2 linked regions of the Drosophila melanogaster genome follow. The protein of the gene in region 1 purifies or fractionates together with the protein of each later gene. This does not show direct contact. Each region holds a gene or a part of one and is shown in the gene's direction. Other genes may lie near its edges. The genes, in order: nSyb and Snap24.

What was found.
Region 2: the proteins of nSyb (region 1) and Snap24 purify together in Drosophila melanogaster (affinity purification with mass spectrometry; 2 studies listed by BioGRID, with this or other methods). This does not show direct contact.

The regions. Positions count from the first base shown.
Region 1 is NT_037436.4:1,631,534-1,639,396, reverse strand, and holds the start of nSyb (neuronal synaptobrevin), read left to right. Parts: upstream 1-1,722; 5' UTR 1,723-1,764; intron 1,765-1,784; exon of another isoform or gene 1,785-1,838; intron 1,839-2,124; exon of another isoform or gene 2,125-2,127; 5' UTR 2,128-2,577; coding exon 2,578-2,579; intron 2,580-3,387; exon of another isoform or gene 3,388-3,431; coding exon of another isoform or gene 3,432-3,460; intron 3,461-3,712; coding exon 3,713-3,863; intron 3,864-3,937; coding exon 3,938-4,096; intron 4,097-4,159; coding exon 4,160-4,211; intron 4,212-4,489; coding exon of another isoform or gene 4,490-4,503; exon of another isoform or gene 4,504-4,892; intron 4,893-5,590; coding exon of another isoform or gene 5,591-5,607; exon of another isoform or gene 5,608-5,688; intron 5,689-5,891; coding exon 5,892-6,148; 3' UTR 6,149-6,339; intron 6,340-6,942; coding exon of another isoform or gene 6,943-7,130; 3' UTR 7,131-7,863. Other genes in the region: Mettl2 (methyltransferase like 2), read left to right, coding at 325-488, 543-1,356. UniProt on the Drosophila melanogaster protein: Involved in the targeting and/or fusion of transport vesicles to their target membrane. Major SNARE protein of synaptic vesicles which mediates fusion of synaptic vesicles to release neurotransmitters.
Region 2 is NT_033777.3:9,760,619-9,764,919, reverse strand, and holds Snap24 (Synaptosomal-associated protein 24kDa), read left to right. Parts: upstream 1-1,769; 5' UTR 1,770-2,070; coding exon 2,071-2,709; 3' UTR 2,710-3,615; downstream 3,616-4,301. Other genes in the region: CG8478 (uncharacterized protein), read right to left, coding at 1-239, 294-894, 985-1,017; Mpi (mannose phosphate isomerase), read right to left, coding at 3,775-4,301.

The DNA.
Region 1 (7,863 bases):
CTAAGGGGTTTCGGTAAAAACTCGATGCGTACTCAACACGCCACAAACTAAACACACATAGAACACATATTTCACAATTGCTTTTGGAAAAAAGGGCGATAACGGGTACATCCGATTTCCCGCTCGGAAGAGAGCCGCTTCGAAAATACTAACGGTTTAACTTTATTGGATCGGTGCACGGCCACACTGGCGGCGTGTTTACCAAAATATATAATTTGGATCGCACAAACAGGTGATATATACCGTCATTCCTGTCCGATATGAGTGACAACCCCGCCGCGGAGAACGAAAAGCGACCGCAGTTCGGAACCCGCCTGCTCACGGATGCTGACGACGTCTTCAAGCACAATGCTTGGTAAATATGGGTGGCAAATCCTCCGGAGATTGGCCAGCAAAAGTTGGGAACACACTCGCCAGCGTAAAAAACCGTCGGGAGCGGGCAGCCGGGTGCTCACCGACGCGCGAGAGGTGTTCGAGTTTAACGCCTGGTACTTATCTGCCGTTCAGTACTCATGAAAATCCCTCTAAACATGGATTCACAGGGACCACGTGCAATGGGATGAAGAGCAGGAACTGGCCGCGAAGGCGGCTGTAGCCAAGAATTCGACCTCAAAGATGGAAGCGGAGCAGAAGGAGCGATTTCAGACAGACGCCCCCAAGTTTTGGGATTCCTTCTACGGCATTCACGACAACCGCTTCTTCAAGGATCGCCACTGGCTGTTTACGGAGTTCCCCGAACTAGCTCCTCTGGCGGCGGATTCGGCGGTACTGCAACCACGTAGCATTTTCGAACTGGGCTGTGGAGTAGGAAACACAATTTTACCCCTTCTACAGTACAGCTCTGAACCGCAGCTCAAGGTTTTCGGATGTGACTTCTCCGCCCGGGCCATTGAAATCCTGCGAAGCCAACGGCAGTTCGACGAGAAGCGCTGCGAGGTGTTTGTCATGGATGCCACGCTGGATCATTGGCAGGTGCCCTTCGAGGAAAACTCACAGGACATTATTGTGATGATTTTTGTGCTGTCCGCAATTGAGCCAAAGAAAATGCAGCGGGTATTGGACAATTGCTATCGCTACCTGCGTCCCGGTGGCTTGCTCCTCTTCCGCGACTACGGACGATACGACCTGGCACAGCTGCGCTTCAAGAGCGGCAAGTGTATGGAGGACAACTTCTACGTGCGAGGCGACGGCACCATGGTGTACTTCTTCACGGAGGAAGAACTGCGGGGTATGATGACTCAAGCGGGGCTGCAGGAGGAGCAGCTCATTGTGGACCGAAGACTGCAAGTTAATCGCTGTCGCGGCTTGAAAATGTACCGCGTGTGGATTCAGACAAAGTTCAGGAAACCGCTTTAAATCAATTTAGACGAATAGTTCTGTGCATTTTAAACCTTGTTCAAATCAATTGATATAATTATTTACACGATATATTTAAAAATACAAAGTTAAAACTTCAAACTGTAATATTACTAGAACTTTGAGCATTTCTTTTTCTTGATGGAAAGCCCGGCTTGTTTTTAAATTTCCCACCCCTTGGCCATCGGCACTTGGAAATCGCTAAGGAAAAGCTTCTCGCTGGAACACCATTCGCTGCTGGCCATCCAGGCAGCTTTTTCCCCAAATACACATAACAGTTAGGAAAGCTGCAAGTTTTCGCAGTTGGCCAAAAACGTCGTAAGTGAAAATTTTCCTGGTGCTGCGTAAAAAAATTCGTAAAATATTAGTTAAGCCTGGTTTTTGTAAACTCAAGTTGCCCGAGCAAAAGTAAAGTGATTCTGATCAAAAGTGCTAAAACTGATTGATTAGGAAAACGAAGATCAAACGAAATGTCAACCAAAGTCAGCGAAAACCCTTGTCGTGCAGAATTTCATTGATTTTTTCTTCTGAGCCCACGTTGGCCAGTTGGGCACTTGAAATTATTTTTAAAACGTTTTGCATTTTGAAGACATCTTAGGTGCCCCTGGGGGTATGCAACGGAAATGAGGAAGGACATGCCTCATGGCTGGGCGTGTTGCTGCCACCCAAATAGTCCTCTTACGTCCCAATTAGAATCCCATAGCTGCCCATTTCAAGCATTAACCGATGTACTAAAAATAGTTGCAACTATTTTCGCACTCTATTCAGCAGCAGTTCCAGCGCTGAGCCAGAAAATTCCTGCGAAAGGCTGTCGTGGCAAGTGTTACCCGCACACATACACATCATCCAGATCCAGCCAATCCCCCCGTGGAGTGGAGTGAATTTTCATTGACGACGGGGCGAAAAAGCTCTGGCGGAAGAGCGACAGAGAGAGAGAGAAACAGAGAGAGAGAGAGAGAAGCGGCACTGAGAGCGCAACCCTCTAGAACAAAAACAACGAAACAGAGTTCAGCTGCACCACCACCCACTACCTACACCACCAACGCCACCACCGCCCACTGACCATCCCACATCCCGACCTGCGCCAGTGGAAGACAGTGAAAGAGGCCAAGTGCATCGTGCATAGAGTACCTTCATCCTAATCATCGACAGCCGAATTCGCTGAGGCCACCAGAGCACCACCAGCCAAACCACAGAAGCAACCACACAGCCACCAGAGCCATGTAAGTGGATGGACGTTATTGATTCGTTTTCCGGCGGGGAAATGGGGGTTTCGATTCCCCGCCTTGCTTTTCGCCGTCACAGAGGGAATGCTCGTTTGATAGCCGCATTAAGTATACGCAGCATGGGTCGCTCATTTCATTTGTCATTTGTCCAAGTGCTCGCGCCCGTAAAATCCGTAAAAGGAACACGGGCCAGCTGCAGCTGCCGTTTCGGTTCGCTAGGCATGAATCACTTGGCGATGACGTTGTGGCATCACATGGCCAAGTCTCTCACACCGCAAAATCAATAAAAACACGATTCGCACCCGTGAGTCAGGACATGCAAACTAAGTTGCACCTATTTCTTTTGGTCGCTTGAAACCAAACATAAGATATGTGTCATGATCAAAAGAAAAGCTCGTCTTATACACACATACAAGTTGTTGATAATGCTCTTTGATTCCATATAAAATTGATTTTGCCAATAAAAGCCGGGGAAAGTTGAGAAATCCAAAAATATTCCCTCCACGTAGGTAAAAAAAAAAAACCAATTGTCGCCGGTCGTAGGGATTAGGGTAAGATATTGATTTCTTTTTCTTTGTCGTGGGAAAGGGAAATACGGTTCGATGAAAACATTTTGCCAACAACAATAACCAATACCAAATGACCAAATGACTATGGATAATACTGAGATACTTCACTCTATTGTTTGTTTCACTAAAAAATATGCATCACGTAGAAACCATACAAACTAGTCCAGCATAAGTAGCTTCGCCTATTGTAATTCTTTTATTTAAAATTAACAATTTCCCTTCCTTTGGCCCCGCAGAGCCCAGAAGCCGAGTTAAAGGTCAAAGTTTTTGGGGGTCTGAGATGGGAAAGAAAGACAAGAACAAGGAACAGTAAGTGTCTCTCCAAGTTAAAGGGTAGCTGGCTAGAACTATACTCCAGCACTGTCCGTAGCCCACACGTATCTTGGAGATATTTCGATTAAAGCTAGAAACCATAGTCGTTCGTAACCACCCACCCACACCCACTCTTTGTGTAATCTAAGTACTGTATTTAATGCGAGAGCCCCCGTTGGAAGTTGATTAATCTTGGCCCGAGCTATTCTTGTTCTCGCATCCGATGACTAATGACGACCTCCTCCGCAGGGCGGACGCTGCACCAGCTGGCGATGCACCACCCAATGCCGGAGCCCCGGCCGGAGAGGGCGGCGATGGCGAGATTGTGGGCGGACCACACAATCCGCAGCAGATCGCGGCACAGAAGCGTCTGCAGCAGACGCAGGCGCAGGTCGATGAGGTGAGTTCCGGGACTGAAAGTCGATCACAGATCAGCCATTCCATTAACCACTGCAACCCTGAATCCCCGACCAGGTCGTGGACATCATGCGCACGAACGTGGAGAAGGTGCTGGAGCGCGACAGCAAGCTGTCGGAGCTGGACGACCGTGCCGATGCCTTGCAGCAGGGTGCCTCGCAGTTTGAGCAGCAGGCGGGCAAGCTCAAGAGGAAATTCTGGCTTCAGAACTTAAAGGTAAGTGCGACGATGGCAGTTACCTTGTCGGACCGAACTTCAATCTTTGTTTTCTCCGCACAGATGATGATCATCATGGGCGTGATTGGCCTGGTTGTCGTGGGCATTATTGCAAGTAAGTTGACAGATCCTGGGCGAACTTGGTGCACTCATTTCTGGGACACACATACCCCAGAGAAACTGACCTTGACCCACGCCACACCACACCACACCACTCGACTCACCACGCACACACAGAACCGAAGATACTTTCAAGATCACCCAGTTACCCAGTTGTGTTTGTCTTTTGAGTTCGCCTTGATTTAGCGCTGATTTCGTTGGCCCAAATCGCTTTCGTTTATCTACACACCGAATCTAAATTGCGTTCTTAATTCCGCCACTTTTTTTCTCTAGGTAACTTTATGTAGATTGCTAACTATCTAATCCGTAAGAATTTAGTTCTTAGCCGCAATGCAATGCAAATCGAAACCAAATCAAAAGCCAATCAATCAACCCAATAAGAACCAATCGAAATCCAAATCGAAACCAAAACCGAAACCAAATTCAACTCATTCACAACTGCTATGAGTAGAGCTGCGAACTCACAGTCCAACTGACCGTTCGCTCAACCGATTCGACCTAGATGCCTTGCGAAATTCCCATAACTATAGATCGATCGATCATATCATGTCATGCGCTTCAGCCACCACTAGAACAATAACTAAATGCTAAGTGGCATACATATGCGAGTATTTGTATTGTGTACCATGTATGCCCAAGCCCAACATCATCTGGTTCCATACGAGCATACGCACAGGTTCGGTAAAGATTTCATTTGATGCCCACTGAAAGTCGTGTCCTGTGTTGTTTCGTTTCGTTACGTTGCCTAACCACCACCAGTAATCAAGTTGAGATCACGCCGAGTATCGGATCCGCCAGCTCCGTCCATGTGGGTTGCGGCTGAGGGTCTGGACGACAATGGAAGGACCCCGGCCAGAAGCCGATCTGGCGGAGATGGACCGATACTCAATGGTGCCCGTTAGCCTTATCCGTAGGACCTTAAGTTCTAGCTAGCTAGTTCTAACTCCCGTAAGCCGTAATCGTAAAGTTTGTGGTTTGTTCAGTGTTTCGTTAACCGTATCCGTATCCGTATCCGTTTTTCGTTTGTTTCGTTCTGATATTGGCAGCAGCACCCCAGCCACAGACACACGACTGTGCCATGTCCTGTGTAAAATACAAAACTTGAATCCACTTCCCCAGTAAAAGTAGTCCCTTCTCGTAACTCGTTACTCAATACTAAGCCTTCACGCAACTCGTTACTCGTTACTCGTTACTAAGCCTCCACGCAAGCGCAACGGCCTTCGGATTGGAAAAGCCAGCCTTTCTTGTGCCACTGAACCACAGCAAAAGCATAAAGTACTGCCATTCTTCTTCATTTACCTAAGTTTTTTTTTAATGTTTTCACCTTGATTTGACACACTCTCAACACCGAACCATATTTTTGAACAATTACAGAGAAAGACGAAGAATAATCACACAGAAAGCTTCAGCTTTGTACAATTTTATTAACCATAAGCAAATCAATTTACCCAATATAACACTTTGTGTGTGAGGTAAACAGCGAGAGCAATCTTTTATTTATTACTCATACGCCACATTTATTGCTAGGTGCACCAGTTGATAAATCCTTTGTTTTACATCGCTCAAAACCGTTTCTATATTTATACTTTATTGTTATCATCTTTATCTGCTCGCTTTGAAAACAAATCGATTTGAATTAAACAACAACATGAACTCACCGAAAAATTTCTCGTAGAACCGTACATGTCGGATGATAATGCTGCTCCGCAGCCTCCTGCCTTGCAGCAGCAGGTGGCTCCGGCATCGGCAACTGCACCTGATTCAGCACCACCACCACCACCACAACTACTACAACAACAAGAACAACAACTACAACCACACCACCATACACAAAATCTAAAATCTGAACCACCGACACTCGAGAAACCATTGGCCGAGAAATTGACCGACCACCCACAGAGTCCGTCGAATGAAGTGGCGACTGGACAATAGAACGCTCACGATCTCTCTTGAAAACCAACATTCAACCAACCAACCAACCAACCAACCAACCAAACTAATCAGCCATCGATTAACCACCAAGACGCATCCGTAGAACCATAGTCAAAATTAATCAAAATCGAAAAGAAAACATTTCACACTTTCTTTGTACCATTGACAAAATCGATCTAATCCGATACACTGTAAGCAAACGAAAAAACGGCAACATATCAATGCAAATAATCATACCCAGTAATTTGACACCTGCGCTTCTTCTTACTTCCGTTTCCGTTTGTGCTCCCACTTCCGTTTCCGCCGTTCCTCTGGTTTTATATTATTTCGGCTGGCTGTAAACGGTGTCTCATCGTTTACCGCCAGCCTTAGCCGCATGTATGTGAGTTAATCGATGTCTATGTGTGATTAGTGCCTTATTATTTGATTTTTACAATTCAATGTTGTATGTATTTTAAAATTGGCCTAAGTTTATTGCACCAAAAGCGAGAGGACTTCTCTTCGGGAGGCTCAAAGGAAGACAGCTTCCAGTGACTGCCTAAATGTACATAAATATATATGTATATATATATATATATATCCATACCTGTTCGATGCAGTTGTCCCTGCTGTCCGCCCCCACCCACCGTCCACATCCCATGTCCACTTGCTATATTCCGTCATGAGTGAGCTTTTAAGCCTTGAAGTGTAATATTTTTGGCGTATACTCGTGTATCGTTGTCTGAGATTGGCTAAAGAGCGCAAAGAGCCATCACATGTCGTGCCCTACTAATTCTTGCATCATTTTAAAACAGATAAACTTGGACTCATAGGCGGGGAGCAGCCGCCACAGTACCAGTATCCCCCACAGTACATGCAGCCACCGCCGCCGCCACCGCAGCAGCCAGCCGGAGGACAGTCATCGCTGGTGGATGCGGCAGGAGCAGGAGACGGAGCAGGAGCAGGAGGATCGGCAGGAGCTGGCGATCACGGCGGCGTGTAAGCAATCCCGCTGCCAGGACGAAAGTTTCTCGATTAGTGTGCTCCTTCAGCGGGCGAAAACAAAGCAGAGAAGACAAAAGAAAACCAAGAAAGGAAAACTCAGTTAAACTAGAAAATCTCGAGAATTGCAATGAAAACTCAATAATAATTTTCACTTAGACGATGTGCACGAGTTGGTGTGAGAGGTTTTAAGTAACTTACGTCATAATATTAATACTAAATCTAATGCAGACGCTCCGGACAATTTGAAGTTGTTGCTAATTTGTTTATGGTTACATTATTTCATGCATAAAACGGTATATATAATTATAAATATAAATACAAATCTAAATACAAATACAAATATATGGAACTTGAATATTACGAGTGACTCCAACCACTACCCTGTACTACCACCCTATACGGAACTAGCATCTCTACGCTGCACTGGCAACAAGGAGCGCCAGTGGAAGCAGGAGGACAGGCGGTCGCTTCCCGATGTTCGCAGCTCTTTGAACTCAGTTTCCTTAGCAAATCGACTAGACAAAACTAACAGAATCATAACTATTTCGGAACAGACGCGAAACCAAAGAAATGAAATCTAAGCTTTGTTCCTAAGTAAAGTTACGCAAATATGATATTCGAAATGTATAATCCAAAAAGATGAATTTGAATCGACGGGCCGCCAGAGAAAAGGCAGTTAAATGTTTTCAAGCAAGTTTACTTATACAAAAACAGCAAGCGTAGTCGGCTGG
Region 2 (4,301 bases), on another chromosome or scaffold:
GGGCAGATAGGAGCGCCGAGGGCGCGGTAGGGCGGCACCCGAATAAGTGGAGCTCATGGACTGCCTCTTCTTGCCCGCCTCCACTTTTAATTTGGAGGTCGCTGGCTTCACAGAATCAGCGGAGATCTTTAGAGCTTTGGCAATTAGCTCAGAGACTTCGTTCACTACCTCGTTGACATGGGCGACCTCCTTTTCGGCTCCGGCTGGCGAGACCAGCATGGATACTCCTTCGTTGGATACTGTAAATGTAGATGTTTATAGAACGAAACCATATCTCAATAGTATAAACCTACCTTCAGTTATATTCTCTAAAACTACGTTCGCACTCAAGGGATAGACTTGGCTGGGAGCTGGGGTCTTGGCAGCCTCCTGCAAGGATACATTGTCCATGGTAGCATCCCCTGTTTTTAGGGTATTGGCCTTAACCGTATTGGCGGTCACGTCCACTGAACTGGACAAGGTCGAGTTATCGCCGCCACACCCCTCCGGTTGTGTGTTTTCCTTGTCGTCAATTTGGGTCAGATCTATGCTCTCCATGATCTGTGGTGTCTGCGTTTCGGTCGAAATATTGCCCTTGGAGGGAGTGGAGCACAAGGCGTTGTGCCGGTTAAGAATACTTTTGTCAAATGGGCGCAGAGGAGAATTCTGGTCCGGTTCCCCAATGGTCAACTGATGCAGATCCTTTAGGATAGTGCGCCTTAGGTCCTTATCATCGGTGTTTACCTCCACCTTGCTGTTGTGCACCTCCAGGAACTGGCTGTTCTGGGTGACCAGGGCCGACTGCCACTTGGCATTGGACAGGGTGTCCTCCGCGTCAAAGGATAAATACATGGAGACGCTCTCATCGTTTGTCATTATCGATGAGCTACGGGAATCGATCTGCTGGAAGTGAAACTATTGTTTTAGCAATGAAAATGGGATAATGTTCGGAAGTCTTTTCCCGGCAAATGGAAGCAACACCAACTGAAACCACCAAACACTTGCCTTGCCGGCCATAGTTCTGCGCGAATCGTCCATGGTTAAGTATATGCTATTCCCAATTGGCCACGAGGAATTCCCAAATTAATAAATACAAGCAATTAAGCAAAAATTCGAGCAGCTGAAGACCGACGCTGTACCGAAAAAACAAAGCGTTAATATTTCAAACACACTTTTCAACACTGCGCGCGCAATGAAGATAGCAACGGCGCCGATGGGAATGCGCGGCTTTAAATTATGAAAAGTATTGAAAAAACTATAAATTCTTCACTACTTTCAAATTGATGTTAACGCGTAGGAGACTTTGTAGAAATAAATCTAATTTTTTCGGCACACGACGAATTGAAAGGTTACAGTGACTAGATGGGAAATATTTTTGAAAACATAAAATAATTGTGTTTTATCAGACTCGAACAGGGTTCATGTCTTAGATAAAAGTGTAATATCAGACTGGATTATTAGTTTATGCATGGTAAATCGACTTTTAAACTCAGATTTAATAGTAAAATGTAAGAAAGCCCTCTTTCGTAAATAGTTTGCAGCTTGTTTTGCTTAATTTCTTTAATTGTACTTGTTGCGAACTAAGCCTAAATGCAATATTAAACTTTTAAACTCAGATTTAATAGTAAAACGTAAGCAAGCCCTGTTTCGTAAATAGTTTGCAGCTTGTTTTGCATAATTTCTTTAATTGTACTTGTTGCGAACTAAGCCTAAATGCAATATTAAACAGTGTGAACACACGTAAAAATCGCCTATCGAAAACGACATCGATACTAACATCGATTTTTTTGCAGCTCTAGTATACAAATTGGCGAATTGTTGTGTGGTGTGAAAATTCATACTTTCGCAAATAAATTATTAAACCTTGGCAATAAGTTCCTACGTACGGAGCACAAACGAGCTCATCCCCGCCCCAATTACATATCCACCGAGTTCACACACCGAACCAGCACCAAGGGTAGTTTTTCATCTCGCGCGAGTGAGTCACTGGCCAGATTTCCCCACCCAAAAAAAAAACAAGACAGCCGTCTTGCCTCTCAACCACTTGCCAAGCTCAAGTTCAAGTGATCTCACCAGATAGATAGTTCCGAAATGGCCGCCGTGGAGAATGCCGAGCCGCGCACTGAGCTCCAGGAGCTGCAGTTCAAGTCCGGACAGGTGGCCGATGAATCCCTGGAGAGCACGCGTCGGATGCTCGCCCTCATGGACGAAAGCAAGGAGGCTGGAATCCGCACGCTGGTGGCCCTGGATGACCAGGGCGAGCAGTTGGACCGCATTGAGGAGGGCATGGACCGGATCAACGCGGACATGAGGGAGGCGGAGAAGAACTTGAGTGGCATGGAAAAGTGCTGTGGCATCTGTGTGCTGCCGTGGAAGAAGGTGAACATCAAGGACGACGGTGAGAGCGCCTGGAAGGCCAATGACGATGGCAAAATCGTGGCCAGCCAGCCGCAAAGGGTCATTGATGAGCGGGAACGCGGCGGCATGGGTGCACCACCGCAGTCCGGCTATGTGGCCAGGATCACGAACGATGCGCGTGAGGATGAGATGGACGAGAATCTCGGGCAGGTGAACTCGATGCTGGGCAACCTGCGCAACATGGCCCTGGACATGGGCTCCGAGCTGGAGAACCAAAACAAACAGGTTGATCGCATCAATGCCAAGGGCGATGCCAACAACATTCGCATGGACGGCGTGAACAAGCGCGCCAACAATCTGCTCAAGAGTTAAATATGCACAACGGCCACGTCCCGAAACCATAGCGAACATGTTAGTCAGACACCACCTCCATTTCAATGTTGTTAGGGAAAGAAACCAATGTTGTGGGCACAAACCGTAGCTGGTGGTATTGCGTTATTGATACCATATATTATACACATATACAAGTAGTGGCAACTACTCCTGGCAAACGCAAGCGTAACAAACCCATCTACTTACAAGAACTTTAAGCCGCCGAGCCGGATGAACTAACTACTACTTTCTAAAACTATATATATATATATATATATATATATATATATATATATATATATATATATATATATATATATATACATATATGCGAACCAACATACTAACTACTTACTATTACTACACTCGTGTACAAATGGCAACCAGATGGCGCCGGAAACAATTTTATTATGAGATTTACCGTATATGATGTACTCTGTTTTTGGTACAAACTTTTTGAGCATTTTACCGATCTTTGTGAAATCAAACCAAGCAACTGCTGAGATGGATAAATGTGAATTAATGTATTTACAATTCGTAGAACCACCGCATCCCGCACGGGCACCGAAAAACCAAACAAAGACGGGCGGAAATTATGTATAACGTAGCCAATTTTATGTTCTCCATTGTTAACCCTTTTTAAGTAGGCCATGTATTTGGGCATTTCGCAAGCCCAGCACAGCAGTCCAAGCACCAATTCTATTGAATTACACTAGATTTGCACTCGAACCTCTTGCTTCGTACATATGAATAATTTATCCCCAGTGAATGTAACCCCGATCGAGTTACGTAGCTCTAGCTTAAGTACTTGAAATTGTTGGTTGCAATTATCGCAAATATTTAAGAAACTACCTGTTTGTGCGCAAGATATTTCTCGTTAATTATTAAATGTACTATGGAACGAGTATAGCCAATTGATTAGATAACTTATTTATCGCTACTATTGCCACTTTAGCTTACATTCTTAGCTCTTAATTGCAAGTAAATATAAACAAAATAATTCACCACCAAAACGTGTTAATGGATTTATTGCACTGTACAAAATATTTCGATTAACTGAGAATTTTAGGGCACTCGAAAGTAGTTGCTGGTTGCTATGTAGCCGCTGAAGTCCTCGTCGCAATCGTCGGACTGGGCGAATTCGATTTCCGGCGCCGCCTCGACGGGAATGTACACAATGCTGCCGCGGGTTACCAAGATCTCCTTATCTCCCTGCTGGGTTTTCAATTTAAGAATGCGGGATCCCTTTAGAACTATCAATATGGAGCCGAATGCTTGTATCTCCAGCTTGTACGACTCCAGCGAGTGTTCGATATTCACATTTATCACTGCAAAGTCGGATACTGGCGGAATATAGACCTGGACCTGGTCATCTATGCGGTACGGAATGAACTCCTTGCGATCCTTATACGAACTTTCGAAGATCACAGATTCCAGCAGCTGGTCCACATCCTTGTACTTGGGCGTTAGGCCCGCCCGTATCACATTGTCCGAGCAAGCCATGCACTCCACACAGTCGCCGTCCAGGTAGGCATGAATCTCGTTCGCGCCCAAGTAGATCGCCTGGCCGGGCTGCAGGCGGATTAGGTTGA